3 separate regions of the Mus musculus genome follow, and all the other regions are reported to be linked to region 1. The links are microRNA targets in miRTarBase. Many come from high-throughput screens and were not tested one by one. Region 1 holds a microRNA gene; each other region holds the end of a gene's coding sequence. Distances are between the middles of the regions.
The links. The annotated mature microRNA mmu-miR-466a-3p reads UAUACAUACACGCACACAUAAGA and lies in region 1 at 2,302-2,324, opposite strand. An mRNA with a match to its seed (bases 2 to 7 or 8) in the 3' UTR can be bound and repressed. Matches are read on the target gene's strand: a 7mer-m8 pairs with bases 2 to 8, a 7mer-A1 pairs with bases 2 to 7 and ends in A, and an 8mer does both.

Region 2: the mRNA of Haus2 is a reported target of mmu-miR-466a-3p. Seed matches in the 3' UTR shown: 7mer-m8 at 5,107-5,113, 7mer-m8 at 5,043-5,049, 7mer-m8 at 5,039-5,045, 7mer-m8 at 5,035-5,041 and 7mer-m8 at 5,031-5,037.
Region 3: miRTarBase lists Prl5a1 as a target of mmu-miR-466a-3p. Seed matches in the 3' UTR shown: 8mer at 3,026-3,033.

Annotation. Positions count from the first base shown.
Region 1 is chr2:10,496,654-10,501,057 of GRCm38, reverse strand. Mir466b-2 (microRNA 466b-2) reads right to left here and starts at 2,373; the gene lies at 2,292-2,373. The region is part of intron 10 of Sfmbt2 (Scm-like with four mbt domains 2); the gene reads right to left. It overlaps Mir467a-9 (microRNA 467a-9), which reads right to left and starts at 2,665; the gene lies at 2,583-2,665. Mir669a-10 (microRNA 669a-10) reads right to left here and starts at 2,147; the gene lies at 2,061-2,147.
Region 2 is chr2:120,616,272-120,624,546 of GRCm38, reverse strand. It overlaps Haus2 (HAUS augmin-like complex, subunit 2), which reads right to left. Exons shown (of 6, transcript NM_025475.3): 5 at 6,566-6,674; 6 at 2,987-5,572. The coding sequence ends at 5,366. Among named protein-coding and RNA genes, the nearest start is that of Stard9, 8.7 kb to the left of the region's middle.
Region 3 is chr13:28,148,546-28,156,820 of GRCm38, forward strand. It overlaps Prl5a1 (prolactin family 5, subfamily a, member 1), which reads left to right. Exons shown (of 5, transcript NM_023746.4): 3 at 86-193; 4 at 1,289-1,477; 5 at 2,572-3,050. The coding sequence ends at 2,757. Among named protein-coding and RNA genes, the nearest start is that of Prl5a1, 10 kb to the left of the region's middle.

The DNA.
Region 1 (4,404 bases):
TTACCATGAACTTGCACTCCTGATCTTCCCGACTCTACCAAGGGTTTTCCCGTGGTTTGTGAGACCTCACCCTGGCCCAGTCATACATAACCTCCAAAGCAGTAGGTCACATTTCATTCAAATGGATCCGTGAGGGCCATTCCCGCATGTCTGTGTGCATGTGTGTGTAGGTGTGTGTATGTATATGCATAAAATATACACGCATATACATGCAGGCACTTACGCACACAGGCACATACATAGGGGCCATCACATTAGTCCAGGATGATCTCTAACTGCTCATGAAGTTAAGCATGAAATTGAACTCCTGATCTTCCTGACACTGCCAATTGTTTACACCTGGTGAGAGAGAATATTCACTGTCCCTCTACTTTATAATCAGCAAAATTCTAAGACATATATCATTCAAATGGATCAATGAGTGTCATTCTTATGTGTGTGAGTGTGCATGCCTGTGTGTGTGTGAATACATTTGTATGTGTGTGTATTTATAGGGATGATCATATACACACATGTACGTGCACACACAATTATATGCACATGTACACACCTAGGGTCCATGACGCAAATCCAGGGTGATCTCTAACTCTACATGAAGTTAAGCATGAATTTGACACGAGAAGACTCCTAACTCTGGTAAGCGGTTTTCATGTGATAAGTTGGATGTTTCCATATACCATGAATATACACTCAATGAAACTCTAAGCACGTATAAATCAAATGGCTGACTGACATGTGTGTTTGTGTGCACATGTATGTGTCCCTCGGTGTGTGTGTGTGTGTGTGTGTGTGTGTGTATGCATGTTCATATACACACATGTACAGGCACACTTCCCTATACACATACACACATACACAGGGAAAATCACATGAATTCTGGACTGATCTCTAACTCATCATAAAGTTTAAATGAATTTGAACTGCTCATCCTCATGATGCTGGCAAGAGTATTCACCTCCTAACTGAGACAAAGATCTGGCCGTTAGTGAGAGTATGTTTGCATGTGAGTATATGCATATTCATATACAAAAGTGAATATGTACACAAGAATAAACACATGCACATTCTTGGTGGGCATCACATGAATGGCATATTGAACTCTAACTCATCATGAAGTTAATCATGAATTTGAACTACTCATCCTCCTGACTCTGGCAAGAGTACTCACCTCCTAACTGAGACATAGCTCTGGCCATTCCTATGAATGTGTGTGCATGCGTGTATATGCATATTCATATAGAGAAGTGAATATGCACACAACTATACACACATGTACATTTTTGGTGGGCATAAGATGAATCCCATGCTGGTCATGAACTCATCATGAAATTCAGCACAAATTTGAACTCCTGATCCACCTGACTCTGTGAAGGGACTTCACCTGCTGAGTGAGACCTGTCCCCATTCAGTACTGAGGAATGTTAAAACTCTAAGTCACACGTCATTCAAATGGATCGATGAGTTGCACTGATGTTTGTGTGTGTGTTTTGTTTGTGTCTGTGTACATGTATATATTTGTGTAGATAGGTACATCCATATACTCAAATCCACACACAATAGAAACAGATACAGATAGATATACATAGGGGGCATCACATGAATCCCAGGCATATCTCTAAGTCATCATGAAGTAAAGCATGAATTAGAACTCCTGATCCACAATCTTTCATACCAGGTGAGTAAAACCATTCACTGACCCACTACTGCATAATATTTAAAACTTTAAGTCACATATCATTCAACGTATAAATGAATGCAATTTTTTCCTGTGTGTGTGTGCTTGCATATACACGTGTGTTTATGTTATGTATATCATGTCAACACATGCAATGCACATACAAGTAAACACACATGCACATACATGGGTGGCATCACATGAATACCAGGATGATCTCTAACTGAATTAAGCATGAATTTGAAATCTTTATCCTCCTGACTTTGTCAATCTTTTACACCTGGTGAGTGAGGCCATTCAATGTCCCCTATTGCATAATCTCTAAAACTCTACATCACTTATCATTCAAAGGGATTGGCGAATGCCATTCCTGTGTCTGTGTATGTGTGCTTGCGTTTATACGTGTGTGTGTATGTTATGTATATTCAAATATAGACATGAACATGCACACACAACTATACACACATGCACATACATGGAGGAATCACAGGCTGATCTCTCATGAGGATAAGTATGAATTTGAACTCCTGATACTCTTAACTCTAGCAAGCATTTTCACTCTAAGTCACTTATCACTCAAATGGATTGATGAGTGCCATTCCCATGTGTCTGTGTGCTCATATGTGTCTTATGTGTGCGTGTATGTATATGTATATCATATTCAGACATGTACATGTACACACACATCAACACATACACACATACATAGGGGCAATCACATGAATGCCAGGATGACCTCTAACTCATCATGCCTTTACCATGAACTTGCACTCCTGATCTTCCCGACTCTACCAAGGGTTTTCCCGTGGTTTGTGAGACCTCACCCTGGCCCAGTCATACATAACCTCCAAAGCAGTAGGTCACATTTCATTCAAATGGATCCGTGAGGGCCATTCCCGCATGTCTGTGTGCATGTGTGTGTAGGTGTGTGTATGTATATGCATAAAATATACACGCATATACATGCAGGCACTTACGCACACAGGCACATACATAGGGGCCATCACATTAGTCCAGGATGATCTCTAACTGCTCATGAAGTTAAGCATGAAATTGAACTCCTGATCCTCCTGACACTGACAATTGTTTACACCTGGTGAGTGAGACCTTCACTGTCCTTCTACTTTATAATCAGCAAAATTCTAAGACATATATCATTCAAATGGATCAAAGAGTGTCATTCTTATGTGTGTGAGTGTGCATGCCTGTGTGTGTGAATACATTTGTATGTGTGTGTATTTATAAGTATGATCATATACACACATGTACGTGCACACACAATTATATGCACTTGTGCATACCTAGGGTCCATCACACAAAAACAGGGTGATCTCTAACTCATTATGAAGTTAAGCATGAATTTGAACTCCTGAGACTCCTAACTCTGGCAAGTGGTTTTCATCTGATAAGTGAGATTATTCACTATACCATGAATATACACTCAATGAAACTCTAAGCACGTATAAATCAAATGGATGACTGCCATGTGTGTTTGTGTGCACATATATGTGTCCCTAGTTGTGTGTATATATACATATGCATGTTCATATACGCGCATGTACAGGCATACTTCCCTATACACATAAACACAAACACAGGGAAAATCACATGAATTCCCGGCTGATCTCTAACTCATCATAAAGTTAAACATGAATTTGAACTACTCATCCTCATGATGCTGGCAAGAGTATTCACCTCCTAACTGATTAATAGCTCGGGCCATTCATGGGAGTATGTTTGCGTGTGAGTATATGCATATTCATATACAGAAGTGATTATGTACACAACTATACACACATGCACATTCTTGGTGGGCATCACATGAATCGCATGCTGAACTCTAACTCATCATGAAGTTAAACATGAATTTGAACTCCTCATCCTCCTGACACTGGCAAGAGTACTCACCTCCTGAGACATAGCTCTGGCCATTCCTATGAATGTGTGTGCATGTGTGTATATGCATATTCATATAGAGAAGTGAATATGCAGACAACTATACACACATGCACATTTTTGGTGGGCATAAGATGAATCCCATGCTGATCATGAACTCATCATGAAATTCAGCACAAATTTGAACTCCTGATCCACCTGACTCTGTCAAGGGACTTCACCTGCTGAGTGAGACCTCTCCCCATTCAGTAATGAGGAATCTTAAAACTCTAAGTCACACGTCATTCAAATGGATCGATGAGTTGCACTGATGTTTGTGTGTGTGTTTCTGTTTGTGTCTGTGTACATGTATATATTTGTGTAGATAGGAACATACATATACTCAAATCCACACAAAATATAAACAGATACAGATAGGGATACATAGGGGGCATCACATGAATCCCAGGCATATCTCTAAGTCATCATGAAGTAAAGCATGAATTAGAACTCCTGATCCACAATCTTTCACACCTGGTGAGTAAAACCGTTCACTGTCCCAGTACTGCATAATCTTTAAAACTTTAAGTCGCATATCATTCAAACGTATAAATGAATGCAATTTTTTTCTCTGTGTCTGTGCTTTCATATACACGTTTGTTTATGTTTTGTATATCATGTCAACAGATGCAATGCATATACAAGTAAACACATATGCACATACATGGATGGCCTCACATGAATACCAGGATGATCTCTAACTGAATTAAGCATGAAGTTGAAATCCTTATCCTCCTGACTTTGTCAATCTTTTACACCTGGTGGGTGAGACCATTCAATGTCCCCTATTGCAT
Region 2 (8,275 bases), 110 Mb from region 1:
TTTGCCATGGCCATGTGGAGAGAGGGGCGAAGGGAGGGGAAGGAGAGCTAGAGATGAGAATAAGAGAGGTAAGAGTTTAAGAGTGAACCTTTTTTTTTTTTTTTACATTTGTGTACATGCACGTATTCATGTTTGTGCATGTGAGCTCAGGACATGGCGACCAGAGGTAGGCACAAGACACGGAGTATCTTCCTTAGTTGCTCATCACTGTATTTTTTGAGACAAACCCTCTCACTATATCTGAAGCTCACCAGTTGGCTAGGCAGGCTGGCCAGCCAGTCTCAGAGCTCCTCCTGGGTCTGCTTCCCTAACACTAGAATTACAGGTGTGTGCCTGGCTGAAAAATCTGATTTCAAGCCCTCATGCTTTTGTGGCAAGCACTTTACTGACAAGAATCATCTCCCCAAATCCCATTTAAAACTTTGTTTTTGAGATAGAATCCTCTATACAACCCTGACTGTGCTGAAACTGAAACTTGGTATGTGGACTATGGAGCCTCAAACTCACAAGACATCCACCTGCCTGCTTCATTAATTGTAGCCTCTGCTACAATTAAAGGTGTGTGCCACCATCCTGGGCCTCATAAACTTTTTCCTTTCATTTTCTTTATGTGGACGAATGTTTTTGCCTTAATGTAAGGAAGGTCTGTACACCTTGTCAGTAGGCCAATGGATTCCCCTGGGACTGAACCTGGGATTCAAACTTGGATCTTCTGGAAGAGCAGCCAGTGCTCTTAACTGCTCAGCCATCTCTGTAGCATCTTTTATATAAATTCATTTGTTTTACAAACATCTGAGAAAATCTCACATGTATTGACTTCTCTGAGTCATTACAAAATCAACTATATAATGGCTTCTTCCCCACCATCTCCCCATATGATTTAAATCAAAATTTTTCTTAAGATTCTCTTGTTCCTCAAACCTCCTGATTTCACTGAAACTCCAAAAGGACAAATGAGAGCTGAGGGCTGAAGTCACAGGCCAGAAAAATAAGTAAAGAGCCACAAAAGACAAGAAGAGTGATCCCAAATAGTCTACAAATTGGCATAGTTATTCTGGAATCACATTTACAAATCTCACATACCTCTTCTAATATAAGTAGAAAATACATTCCTGATTTTTTTTTATTATCTACATGTAGAAATCAAACTTTATAATTTGATCAAGGCCAAGTGGTGGTGGCACATGTCTTTAATTGCAGCACTTGGGAGGCAGAGGCAGGTGGTGGATCTCTGAGTTTGAGGCCAGCCTGGTCTACAAAGCAAGTTTTAGGCAGGGCTGTTACACAGAGAAATTGTCTCAGAAAGAAAAAAAAAGTTTGATCAAACCCTCATGGCTAAGCCTGACATTCCCACCTCCAAGCCCAGAAGCCACTCAAAAGACTTCCCCTGCTGGACCTGCTTCCTCATTTATTTCTGTATGTATAGGACTGTGGTCAAGTGAGGAGGTCAGAGGGCAAATTTGGGTGTTAGTTCTCACCTCTAACAGGATCTCTTGTCTGCAGCTTTGTATAGGAACTAGCTGGCCTTTCTTTTGCCTCCCATTTATGTGGCTTCTGGGGATTTGAACTCAAGTCCTTACCCTTGCTTGTGAACTTTTGCCCACTGAGCTTTCTCCTCAGCTCCTGCCTGTGTGTTCTTGCTAACTCGTAGCTTCTTTTTTTTTTTTTTTAAGATTTATCTATGAGGCTGGAAAGATGGCTCAGTGGTTAAGAGCACTGACTGCTCTTCCAGAGGTCCTGAGTTCAAATCCCAGCAACCACATGGTGACTCACAACCATCTGTAATGAGATCTGACCCCTTTTCTGGTGTGCCTGAAGACAACTACAGTGTATTTTTTTTTCAAAGATTTATTTATTTATTATATGTAAGTACACTGTAGCTGTCTTCAGATACTCCAGAAGAGGGCGTCAGATCTCGTTACAGATGGTTGTGAGCCACCATGTGGTTGCTGGGATTTGAACTCTGGACCTTCGGAAGAACTGTCGGGTGCTCTTACCCACTGAGCCATCTCACCAGCCCCAGTGTATTTATAATAATAAATAAATCTTTTAAAAAAATTAAAAAAAAAGATTTGGGCTAGTGAGATGGCTCAGTGGGTAAAAGCACCCGACTGCTCTTCCGAAGGTCCGGAGTTGAAATCCCAGCAACCACATGGTGGCTCACAACCATCCGTAACGAGATCTGACTCCCTCTTCTGGAGTGTCTGAAGACAGCTACAGTGTACTTACATATAACCAATAAATAAATCTTTAAGAAAAAAAAAGATTTATCTATGGATGTGAGCACACTGTAGCTGTACAGATGGTAGTGAGCCTTCATGTGGTTGTTGGGAATTGAATTTTTAGGATTTCTGTTTGCTCTGGTCAACCCCCCTCGCTCAGTCCCTGATTGCTCCATCCCAAAGACTTATTTTTTTTTTTAAGATTTATTTATTACATGTAAGTACACTGTAGCTGTCCTCAGACACTCCAGAAGAGGGAGTCAGATCTCATTACAGATGGTTGTGAGCCACCAAGTGATTGCTGGGATTTGAACTCAGGACCTTCAGAAGAGCAGTCAATGCTCTTACTCGCTGAGTCATCTCACCAGTCTCAGCTTTCTCTTCTTATCCATCTTCTTCTTCCATGAAACTATAGATATCTGTAGCTTGCCTGTCCTTAGAACTGCCCTCTAGTTTCACAAGAATAAAAACACTTGTTCAAGCCAGACACAGTGACATATGCCTGTACTCTCAATATTTGGCGAGCAGAGGCCAGAGGATTGTTGAATCCAATTCTCTCTCCATCCCGAGTAACTGTCTTCTATAAACAAACTCACTACTTATTGACCACACTGATATAAAATTAGCTTTTCTCTCTATGTTAGAATTTAAGTTTAAATTATCTTAAGCTTTTGTGAGCCAGACAGCTCGAATGCTTCTATGTTGTATGTGTTAAGCTAAGAGTATTTTTTTTTCTGTTGCTTGGGATTCATATTGGAGCCACATTTAGTTGAAATTAGTTTATTTTTACAGCTTGAGTCATTAATAAAAGTAAAAATTACAAAACCACAAAGAATATTGATAGTGTCAAAATAATGAATATATTTACACATAAAACACACAAGAATTCATACAAGGAAAATGAATAGTTAAAAAAATTGAGATGAAATACAAATAAAGATTTTACTAACTTGGCTAGGTGATGTTCAAAACCTTAACACCACTTTTTTTTTTTTTTGGTTTTTGAAGACAGGGTTTCTCTGGTTTTTTTGTTTGTTTGTTTGTTTTGGAGTCAGGGTTTCTCTGTATAGCCCTGGCTGTCCTGGAACTCACTTTGTAGACCAGGCTGGCCTCGAACTCAGAAATCTGCCTGCCTTTGCCACCCAAGTGCTGGGATTAAAGGCGTGCGTCACCACACCCAACTTTAACACCACTCTTATATGGCACATTTGTAAAAGCGGGAGACTTTCAAGACAATAATCTATTGTTTTAGCAGGGCCCTTTTGGAGGTTGGGGGTAGGGTAAAGACCCTGCTTCCTTGTGAACATCTACTTTACTATGCACCAAGTCTTGTATTAAGAGCATGATGAGCAGGTTTGCTACACTCCCACAGTGCAGAATAAAACAGTAAGGAAATCCTAATGCACACGTTTGAAAGGAACTCAGATCCTAGCTTAAACATAAGGCGAAGTACTTACAGGACTGATGAGTGAGAAAATCTTGAGACAATTGTTACAATCTCTACTTTTAAGTATACTTGCCTCCATCTTAAGAATAACCCTAAAATAATAAAATAAAAATAACCCTAAGTAGGTAAAATATATTAGTATTTTCCATTACAAACCTCTAAACTTTAGCCAGATATGATACCACATGTCTGTGATTCCAGCACTAGGGCGGCAGAGGCAAGGAAAATCATGTGTTTGAGACCACCCTGGGAAACATAGTGAGTTCAAGTTCTGCCTTGGCTACATATAGGAAGTACCAAAACAAAGAATTCTAAACTTTTACACGAAGACTCCGTTTCTTCTCTGTTGGTCCTCAGCGTTTATTTCCTAACACAGCCAGGTTCAGTGAGTGATCTATCTGCCAAGAGGAGTTATGAGACTTGGTGTCATCACTCACAGCAGTGACTCAGTACAGCAACTCAGCTGTTACATGGTTTTTTTTGTTTTGTTTTGTTTTTTCGAGACAGTGTTTCTCTGTGTAGCCCTGGCTGTCCTGGAACTCACTTTGTAGACCAGGCTGGCCTCGAACTCAGAAATCCGCCTGCCTCTGCCTCCAGAGTGCTGGGATTAAAGGCTCGCGCCACCACACCCGGCTTTGTTACATTTGTTGAATGCTATCTACCATCAAAACTGTTAGGGACGAGGTGCTCTGCAATGCCAGGGACCAGTACCAAAGGTACTTTCTACTTGGTACGGACCAACATCCTAGGCTCTCAGAAGGAAAGAAAGTATCCCACACAAACTACACTGTACAGTCTGTTCAAACTGAGCCCTTCTCAGCCTCTTATTACATAAGTTTCTAGATGGGTCAGCCAAGGAACCACCACTTTACGAAGTCTTCAAAGGGTTACAGTCCTGGTATGTAGCTAATCTACAATCTCACAGGAATAATCACGACAGTTTCAGATTCAGGAACATTCAATTCAGAAATGGTTTTAAAAGATGTAATGCAGAATCATAGCACACAATCTTCTGTATGAAGAATGTTCAACTCACTTATAATAAACTATCATGCATATAGTTAATCTTTTTTGTTGTTAGTAAAACAATTTTAATTCAATGTGAGTGCTCTGCTGCACATACATCTGCAGGCCAGAAGAGGGCATCAGACCCCCTTATAGATGGTGGTGAGCAACCTTGTGGTTGCTGGGAATTGAACTCAGGACCTGTGGTAGAGTGGCCAGTGCTCTTATCCCCTGAGCCAACCCACCAGCCCCACAGTTATCATTTTTAAGCTTCACTGAAGAAAGAGAGTGAAAACATGTAAAGAAGTGAAGCCATATGTACTCCAATGTGCTCGCTCTCTCATGTGCGCGTGCACATACATACATACATACATACACACACACACACACACACACACACTTTCATTTTTCTATTTTTGTGTGTACAGGCACATACATATGATGACACAAGTGTGGACACCATAGGATCGAGTATCTGTGGGAATCAGTGATCCCCTTCTGCTAATGTGGATCCCAGGGACTGAACTCAGGCTGGAAGGCTTGAAGTAGGAGCTTTTTCCCACTGAGACATCTTTCTGGCTCCACTATTCCATTAATATTGCTAGCAAGAAAAACTATCAATATCCCTGTCACAACAATCTAGAAACGGACTTCTTTGACTACATGTAATTAATCCAAAGTAAAGATGACATCACTTGGCCCTGGAGGTTTCGGTGTGAGCCTTAGGAAAAAAAGGTAAAGGAGGCACTATGTCAAGTTCATGAAGATGGCGTTCTTCAGTTAGCATTTTGGGGATATACAAGGAAATTTCTGTTTGTAGTTCTCGCCACTTGAGTATATTCTCTGCCAGTTCTTCTGTCTTGTTCACCAAAATATCCATCTTGGCTAAAGCTTTGCTCTGTAACATTTGAAATAAAGAAAAATAGAAAAAAACCTGTCATTGATTACAGAAATAAATACTTCAAAAATTAGCATTGGATCTTTTTCTAGTCCTTTAGTGCTGGAGCGACAGCTTGGCTGTAAGAGTATACTTGCTGCTCTTCTGGAGCACCTAGGTGTGATTCTCTCTCCTCCCTCCCTCCCTGCAATGTGAGTGTACAAACATACACACATTTTAAAATAAAAAACAAAAGTAAAAACCACAACCTTCACTACCAACAAAAAATGCAATGGCTCCCCAGTATTCAGAGAGTAAAGTCTAAAGTTCTCAGTCTATTGGAGGTTGAACCAGGAGCACTTTGAACTCAAGGCCTGCCTGAATCATATAGTGAATGCATGGTCACTCTATGCTAAAAAGTAAGAACCTGCCTAAATAAATACATACATACATAAATAAATCTTTTTCTTAAATTTTGGTTTTTAAAGACGGGGTTTCTCTGTGTAACAGCCCTGGCTGTTACGATTAATAACAATTATAGGTACAGGGCACCATGGCTAAGAAAATCTTTGTCTTTTTTTATGTTTCATGATTTTAATAATGACTAACTCAAAGTGAAATAAGCCAAGTGAAGAAAGACAAACATGGTAAGGCTTGTCTTGTATGTATATTCTATATTTGAATGGTCTGTGTTTCTGCAGGAGACTGCGAAGAGGAAGAGACATGAAGGGCTGGAGGTGAGAGTGAAAGAGTAACAGTCCATGTGACATACAAACAAAAAGCGCCTTTATCTGGAGGAGGCGAGAGGGCTAGGAGAGCGGGATGGAGAAGATGAGAGAGGACAGCCCCAGAGGAGAACCCACTAGAGCAAAGGTTAATCACATATTCATATGACAGTGTCGTGATGAAATACATTTCTCCTTAGGAGCCTGAGGCTAGCCTGAGCTACATGAGACTATCTAAAAGATAAAACCAAGACAAAAAACAGAGAGCAGCTATATTAATGATACTCACCATTTGCTTTAGGTTTGCGTCTAAATGAGGGCTATTTTTAACTGTTTCAAGATGGGTTTCAAATTTCTCAATGAAAGTCACAGCCAGATCCAACATATGTACCACATATCTGAAAGAGAGTGTTATATTTTGAATGTAAATTTATCCCACAGGCTCCTGTGTTTGAACACTTGGTCCCTATTGGGTGACGCTGTTTGAGTACTTATTGGAGTTTTGGGGCACTGGTAGATGTAGATCACTAGGGACAGACCTTGAAGGTGTTCTCCAATCCCTAATCCATTATGATGTGAAGAAGCCATGCTGCAAGTTGTTGCCACCACAGATGGGAGTTGCCCCATTGCCCCAGCCACAGGGATTTCCCTACCATGTTCGATGTATTTCAAACCTCTTTCTAAGTTGCTTCTGTGAGGAATTCTGGGACAGAAAAGTAGTAATACAGGGAGAAAAATAGTAACTTTTCTTCTCTAGTAGTTTCATTTCTTTTCCTTTAATTAGGACTGTTAATTTGAAATAAGCAAATCTAATGAATATAATTAACCTTTTAATGGAATTATCAGTAGTAAAAAAGGTTCTTCCCTTTTACTTAGGGCAAAACCTAGGCTGTCACACAAACAGAAAAATGGAATAAGTTAGGCATCATGGTATTCATCTTTAATCCCAGCAATCAGGAGTCAGAGGCAGGTGGATCTCTGTGAGTCCAAGGCCAGCCTAGGCTACAGCCAGGGCTACATAGAAAAACACTGCCTCAAAAGACCCAAAAGATCTTAAAGAAAAAAAAAATGGAAAGACACATATTTATGATAACTAAAATCTAACTCAATGGCACATCTTGATTCCCAGCATTTGGGAGGCAGAGGCAGGAGGCTCTCTGTGACTTTGAGATCAGCCTGGTCTACAGAGTGAGTTTTAAGCCAGTCAGCACTACATATTGAGCTCTATCTCAAAAAAGGAAGAAAAAGGAGAAGGACGGAGGAGGAGGGGAGGAAGAGGAGGATAACCTTCAGTGGTTGATAATAACCATCTCACATAAAGCGACTTCCCTAAACACAACCTTATACTGGTTCAGATAACTGACAAGACACCAGGGATAAACATTACATTGAAAATATCACATAATTTTTCTGAATCTGCATTAATAAAATCTTCAAAGTCATTACTCAGCTCATCTTTTTGTTGTTGTTCTTTGTTCTATTTTTAAATCACTTGCAGGAGACTGAGATATATTACTGTAGAGGTAAGTGCAAAGTCCAATGTCCAGTTTTTATCAGCTTCAACTATACAGCAGATTTGAAGACAGCCTATATAAGACCTTGTTTCAAAAATAATTGTTTCCAGGTTTTGCAACCCTCTGATCCCCATCCCCTCTATCTTTTTAAGAGAGGGTCTTGATATGTAGCCCTGGCTGGCTGTACTAAAACTAGCAACGAGCTCTGTAGATCAGGCTGGCTTCAAACTCACAGTGGTCCAGCCTCTGCCACTCCAGTGCTGGGAGTGTGTCACCATGGCTAGCTTCAGTTTGTAATTCTCTTATGGCTTGGGTTTTCTCGAGATAGGGTTTCTCTGTGTAGCCTTGGCTGTCCTGGAACTCACTCTGTAAACCAGGCTGGCCCTTTCTTTTTACCAGTTATATTTAAAAAAGAAAGGACAATTTCCAATTTAACGAAGCAACACTAGTAATGTTAATAAATACAATCAATAAGACATTGTTTT
Region 3 (8,275 bases), not on the chromosome of region 1:
AGTGCATTAATAACTAACAGTCTGCTCATGAGTTCTTTTACTCAATTCCAAAACTCTAACTGATTGTTTGTTTTTTTATTTCCAGGATACAGAGTATGATCCCCACCAGAAATTCCAGAACAGGCCCACCATGACCTGTCACACTTCATCCCGCTCTGTCCCAAACAACAAAAGGAAGGCTGAAAGAATGCGGGTAAGTCCTCATAACAGGTATTCACTAACACAGTAACCAAACCTTCAGGAATGTGCAGACAGAGCAAGCAGCACAAGACAGGCATACCCTATAGCTAATAAAGTACATGTAAAATAAGAGAGTAACTTTAAAGCATAGTCATGAATTGGTCATGAATCATTCCCTATTTTAATAACAGCTTTATCATTAGGATTGAACCTTTTATTATGGAAGAAACTTTGAATTGATTGGAATTTTCATGGTTAAATTTACTCTCCCATGCAGACTTTAAAAAAAAAAGGGGGGGGGGAACTAGAGTTGTAATTTTTACTATTACTAGAGTACTTCCTTGGGAAGCTTTGCACACTACTAATCATGACATAAACTCTTCTTTTTTTGTTGTTGTTTTTTTGTTTTCTGTTTTTTCGAGACAGGGTTTCTCTGTGTAGCCCTGGCTGTCCTGGAACTCACTCTGTAGACCCGGCTGGCCTCGAACTCAGAAATCTGCCTGCCTCTGCCTCCCAAGTGCTGGGATTAAAGGCGTGTGCCACCACGTATAAACTCGTCTTGACTTGGAAGATGTTACTTGTACTTCTGCTCTTCTGCTTACTTCTTCACTCTTACCTGACACCATTCTCTAGGGGCTTTACATGCAGGTCCAGTAAAATACTATTCGTGTTTTATGGGGTATAGATATGTATTAGGCAGGCAGTGCTAGTGTGTGTGTGTGCGTGTGTGTGTGTGTGTGTGTGTTACTATATATAGGCTGCTTATCTGATGGCCTGCTCATAACCAATCTCAGCATAATTTAAAGTAATTATCATAATATATGTGCACATGGCACACATATAATCTGGTCTCCCTGATGACTTGCTAGACCAGCATTCTGCATATCTGCTAGGAACATAGCAATTGTAAAGCATAAGAAAAGGTAGAGGAAGAGAAAGTGCCTCCTAAGATCTGCTCCATGGCTAGACACTTCACAAACTAGTTCAGTATTGCTTCAACCAACCATCAATACTTCACAAGCTCTGAATACTCAACTAGTTATCACATACAATTCAAACCCCCAATTATACCCTTATATTAACGTGATGCTCAATTGTTTTTGCTTAGCCTGTGGTGCTTCTGAATGTGACAATTAGAATGCTGGCTGCCTGGAAAAACCTTCTGCACCATGTAGAAAACAACATGGCTGATCTCGATGGAACTCCTTATGTTATCATATCAAAAGTTAAGTTGATTGACAGACAAATCAAAAAACTCACTAAAAATCTGCAGAACATTAAGACTATACTCAGCCAGGTAAGTGGTCTCTTTTAAATCTTATGGCTTTTGTGTTTTATGATAGATGTAGCATCTATAATGAAAACTACAGAGTGAGTTCCAGGACAGCCAGGGCTAAACTCTGTCTCGAAAAATAAAACAAACGAAAAGGAAAGGAAAGGAAAGGAAAGGAAAGGAAAGGAAAGGAAAGGAAAGGAAAGGAAAAAAGAAAACAAACCTGGGACTGATTCTCTGCCTGCCACAGCGAAATTTAGCCAGGTAATCTCATAAACAATCTAGGGACTAATAGGACTGTGGCAGCTCAAAAGTGTTTCCACTCAGCACCCCACAACACAGAGCTCTCCTGATGCATTAATGATTGCTAGAAATAGCATGGACAGTGCCTTTCCTGTGCAGTCTAAGTATCCCGACGATTTCACCACAGTCATCCATACATTAGAAGAATTTTAACCCACCAGGTGCAATCCTCATCAGTTCTGTAGCTTTGTGTCCATAAATTATGGAAAACGAATATTGTTGAAATAGAGGAAAGCAAAATTGTCAATTAGCCGGGTGGTGGTGGTGCAGACCTTTAATCCCAGCACTTGGGAGGCAGAGGCAGGGGCAGGCGGATTTCTGAGTTCGAGGCCAGCCTGGTCTACAAAGTGAGTTCCAGGACAGCCAGGGCTACACAGAGAGACCCTGTCTCAAAAAACAAAAACAAAACCAAAAACCAAAAAAAAAAAAAAAAAAAAGAGTAGTAAACTACAAATGGCACCTCAGGGATGACATGGAAAACATGGAAGCCTCCTCACAAGAGAACTGATTATAGATTCTTCCATATCCCTTGGTCAAAACCATGTCCATAGTCAAGAAGCAATTCTGTCTCCTCCTAGAATGATATATTTCATCTTGGATCAACTATATTACAAAAATATATGCATAGTTCTGTCTAGTTTTAAGATAACTAACAAATTGGTAGTACCCTAGTCTACATACATGAAACACGTGTATTTCTTTAAGATTTATATTCATAATATTCTTCAAAATATCATTCAAATTGTTTAAATAATGAAGCTCAATAAATATTAATAATGTGAATAATAACTGGCTGACTTTTATTTGGTAAATAGGTTAATCCTGACCTTAAGAAAAATGAAGACTACCCTGCCTGGTCAGGAGAGCCATATGTACAGCAATCAAAAAGGAGAGTTCAACTTTTTGGTTTGCATAGTTTGTTTTTCTGCTTGAACAATGATGCACAGAAGGTTTCTGATTTCATCAGTATCCTGAGAGACCAAATTGTGCCTAATCAATGAAAAGCTCTCATCCTTCCTATCTATTTCTGGGGCAGTCCATACTGATCCAATCCTTAAAAAGTTCTTTAAGTTTTATAATATTTATGTGTGATTAAATCTAAAGGGTCACTTCTTTTCAAATTTTTATGTTTAATTAAATATAATTACACCACTTCTCCTTCCCTCTACCCACTGCTTGCTACCCATTGTCCCCTGACTCATTTTACTCTTTATAAAATGAATTTTTATTAATTATAATTCCACATGCATAATGTATTATTGCTATGTGTATGTATAAATAAATGAATAAATATATAAATGTAGCCCGTCTTTATTGTTGCTTTATATATTGCTTTCTTTATTGTATTCTTTTTAGGGTTGACAACATAATATTGGAGAACCATTTTTCCCATTTCTTTCTTCATTTCACCCACATACTGATATTCCCTCTCTAGTACTCCTCTCCATCCCACCATAGCCTCTTTGATCTTTCCAGTTTAATGTAGTTGTTCCAGGTAATAAACTCACTTCTGAAATTTGAAGCTAAGTACCATAGATGGGAGATAAGATACAGTGTTTGTCTTTCTGAGTTTGGGTTACGTCACTGACACTTTAGAAATGTCAGTGTCTAACAAACTTAATTTTTCATCATTTCTTTTGTTCATTTAACAATAAAAAATTAAACCTGTTCAAATTTGTTACCAAAAATAGTTTTTAAAAGATGATTCAATTTCACTTAGAATCATAATAAGTTAATATAAGTTATTATAATCAAGGTTTTGATCCTACAAAATAAACTGAAATCTCAAGTATTTTTATGAAAGCCAGCCATTGACTATGAACCATTTTCACAGAAAAATAACGAAAATGCAAATATTATAAAGTGTCTATCTTCAAATACCATAAATAGAATAAAGAAAAAGAAAAGATCTACTGAATGGGCTTAACTAGAATGCAAGATATGGAGCACAGCATTGGAATCTGAAAGATCAATACAAATTATTCCATCTGAAAATTACAATAACATACTAAAAAAATTGCAGCAGACTGAATAGTCAAACAAGAAAATATTCGACATTCACACTACTGTGCTTCAAAAGGGAAAAAATTATATATATACATATTTATAGTGTTGCCTGACCACTCAAAGACGGGAAAGCTGAAAATCTTTTAACTTTAGTAGAAGTTAAAACCTTAAAGATTCAAAACTCTTTGCGACTCTAGTTAGGGTAAATCCAGTGGTGTCCGCACATATGATAAACACAGTCAAATTTCATGAAAAAATTCAATTACTTAAAATAGACATGAGGGGATGTTGCCTTACCCACACAAAGACAAAAAAAAAAGCAAAACAAAAAAACAAATATCTGTGTATCTGTTCTAAATCCATGACATCTATAATCAATTAAGTAGCATGCACTAAAAGAAAAAGTCTATTATAAATATGCCTAGATAGACTATCTTTCTGAAATGAAATAAACAATTTCACAAACATAAGGCTTCTTTGGCAGTATTAAACCTAACTGAAAGAACTCATGTATGCTAAGATATCACTGTGGAATTCAACTTTTGCCATCAGCTGACCTATTCTTAAGAATTGCTCAAAGAAACAATAGGAAAAAAAGATTTTATCCACACAGAAAAGATAGATTCTCTGCAGTATTCTATCAGATAGTAAAAGAACAGAGAGAGTAAATGGTTCTCACTGTATTCCATAAAACAGAAAGGAAATAAACTCTCTAGAACTCACTCTATGAAAACAGTATTATCCTATTACCAAAGTCATATAAAGACACAACAAAAAGAAAAAAACTATAGAATTTTTGATAACGATGTAACATGGAGATTAAGCAGCTCATTAATGAATGATGAGTGGGTCAAGGAGAAAATTTAAAAAAAAAATCCTGGAATTAAATGAAAATGAAAATTCAATGCAACAAAACCTGATATTATTGATAGTTCATTGATGAGATCTTAGCATTTGAACTTCTTTTGTTAGTTCTAGGTCTGATATAGACCTATTAGACTGGCACAGAAGAGAACGTGTACAGGCAACTTGGAATTAGAAGTTAGATCTAACTTGAATAGAATGATGTCAGGTGGACAGAGGAGAGTGGGTTGATATATAAGATTTGCCTCCTGGTCCAAGCCTAGAGTGTGAGGGTAGATCTGGCTAGGTGAAAAGGTCACATGTGGTTTCAGAGGGGCCTATGGACTAGGTGATGGGTAGATAAGGTCCTGCAAAAGCCTAGGCATCATTTAGAGCCCAGTCAAGAGAGGCCAGAATAGGCCCAGGCACTAGATGCGTGACCCTGGCTATATATGGCAGTTTGAGGAAGGCAAGTAGATGGGAGCATCAAGAATACATACCATACTATACCCTAGAGAACGATGTAGGGTATATAGCAAGGGAGATAGTTTGGATGCAATCTAGAAGTAACATGTGCTGTTAATAGGTAGTTTAAAACATGAAAACAAAAATAATTGAAAATTCTAAAATCTTGACTTATTTACCCACATGTCCCTCAACTGAAGAATGGATACAGAAAATGTGGCTCACTTACACAATGGACTAATATGCAGCTATTAAAAATAACGACATCACTGAGCCACCTTGGGCGCGAACTCGGCAGATGGTCCCACCATATCAAGAGGACTGTCCACACCATAGGCACCCTAGTATACCCAGGATCTTGGGATCACTGGTGAGTGGAATGCAACATCTGTTCCAAAACAACCGGGAGGGACTTGTGCCAGCAGGTACAAAAATACAGGAAACCTAACCAACCAGCACTTGGGGTTCATTCCAGTAGGGACCAGCCCTGGGCCACCTTGGCCACAAACTGTATAGATGGTCCCACTGTCCCCAGAGGACTCTCCATGCCATAGGTGCCCTAGCATGCCCAGGATCTTAGAAACACTGAAGAGAGTCTGCCTCCAGAGAAGGTTCTGACTGCGGAACTAAGGTAAGACAGCCATCTTGTATACTGAGTCTTTAAGAGACCAGTCCACGCAGGGGAGCGCACAGGCCACAGAAGCAACAGACAGGGTCCCTTCATGCCTTCATCCTCAGCCAGGAGGCAGAGCTGAGACCCAGACCTCTGGGCACCAGAGGAAAGTTGGCCTCCAGGGAGGTCTCTGACTAGGGGACTCAGGTGAGAGCGCCATCTCCTTTACCGGGTTTCTCAGAGACCAATCCAAGCAGAAGAGCATGCTGGCCGCAGAAGCAACAGAGATTCTGGACAGGGTCCCTTCGGGCCTTCATCTTCAGCTAGGGGGCAGATCTGAAAACCAGACCTCTGTGCACCTTCCCTGCAAAAGGAGGGTTTGACCACAGAAAGTGTTCTGGCCACTGGGACTCAGGAGAGAGTTGTACTCCCAGGAGTGCTGACAGAGGCTAACAGAATCACAGGAGGAACAAGCTCCAGCCAGAGACAGCTAGAACATATAACACCAGAGATTATCAGATGGGGAAAGGCAAACATAAGAATCTTACTAACAGAAACCAAGATTACCCAGCATCAAAAAAAAGTAGTACTCCCACCACACAGCAAGTCCTGGATACCCCAACATACCTGAAAAGCAAGATTCAGATTTAAAATCATATCTCATGATGCTGGCAGAGGATTTTAAGAAGGGCATTAATAACTCAAAGGAATACAGGGGAACACAACTAAACAGGTAGAAGGCCTTAAAGAGAAAACACAAACCAATAGACTTAAAGACTTATAGAAAAACATAACCAATCAGGTGATGGAATTGAATAAAACCATCCAAGATCTAAAAATGGAAATAGAAAAAAATAAAGAAAACCCAAAGGGAGACAATTCTGGAGATAGAAATCCTAGGAAAGAAATCAGAAACCATGAATGTGAGCATCAGCAACAGAATACCAGAGATGGAAGAGAGAATCAAAGAAAATGCAAAAATCCAAAAAGATCCTAACCCAAAACATCCAGGAAATCCAAGACACAATAAGAAGACCAAAACTAAGTATAATAGGTATAGATGAGAATCAAGACTTTCAACCTAAAGGACCAGTAAATATCTTCAACAAAATTATAGAAAAAAACTTCCCTAACCTAAAGAAAGAGATTCCCATGAACATACAAGAAGTCTACAGAACTACAAATAGATTGGACCAGAAAAGAAATTCATCCCAACACATAATAATCAGAACAACAAAACACTAAATAAAGATAGAATATTAAAAGCAGAAAGGGAAAAAAGGTCAAGTAACATATAAAGGAAGACCTATTAGAATTACACCAGACTTCTCATCAGAGATTATGAAAGCCAAAAGATCCTGGACAGATGTTATACAGACCCTAAGAGAACACAAATGTTAGCTACTATACCCACCAATACACTCAATTACAATAGACGAAGAAAGCAAAGTAATCCATGACAAAACCAAATTCACACAATATCTTTCCAGGAATCCAGCACTAAAAAGGATAATAAAAAGAAAACTCCAACACAATAAGGAAAACGCTGCCCTAGAAAAAGCAAGAAAGTAATCCTTCAACAAACCTAAAGGAAGATAGCCGCAAGAACAGAATTCCAACTCTAACAACAAAAATAACAGGAAGTAACAATTACTATTTCTTAATATCTCTTACTATCAATGGACTCAATTCCCCATTAAAAAGACACAGGCTAACAGAATGGCTACATAAACAGGACCCAACTTATTGCTGGATACAGGAGACCCACCTCAGGGACAAAGACAGATACTGCCTCAGAGTAAAAGATGCTAAAACAATTTTCCAAGCAATTGGTCCAAAGAAACAAGCTGCAGTAGCCATTCTAATACCGAATAAAATCTACTTCCAACCCAAAATTATCAAAAAAAGACAAGGAGGGGCACTTCATAATCAGCAAAGGTAAAATCTTCCAAGATGAACTCTCAATTCTGAATATCTATGTTCCAAAGACAACACCATTCACATTCATTAAGGAAATTATTGTAAAGCTCAAAGCACACATTGCAATTAACACAATAGTTGGAGACTTCAATACCCCACTCCCATCAATGGACAGATTCTGGAAACTAATAGAAGTTATGAAACAAATGGATTTAATAGATATCTACAGAACATTTTATCCTAAAAGAAAAGGATATACATTCTTCTCAGCACCTCATGGTACCTTCTCCAAAATTGACTATATAATTGGTGACAAAACAGGCCTCAACAAATACAAGAAGATTGAAATTATCCCATGCATCCTATCTGATCACTATGGACTAAGGCTGATCTTCAATAACAACATAAATGATAAAAAGCCAATATTCACATGGAAACTGAACAACACTCTACTCAATGATAACTTGGTCAAGGAAAAAATAAGGAAAGAAATTAAAGACTTTTTAGAGGTTAATGAAAATGAACCCACAACATACCCAAACTTATGAGACACATTGGAAGCAGTCCTAAGAGGAAAACTCATAGCTCTGAGTGCTGCAAAAGAGAGAGAGAGAGAGAGAGAGAGAGAGAGAGAGAGAGAGAGAGAGAGAGAGAGAATACACTAGCAGCTT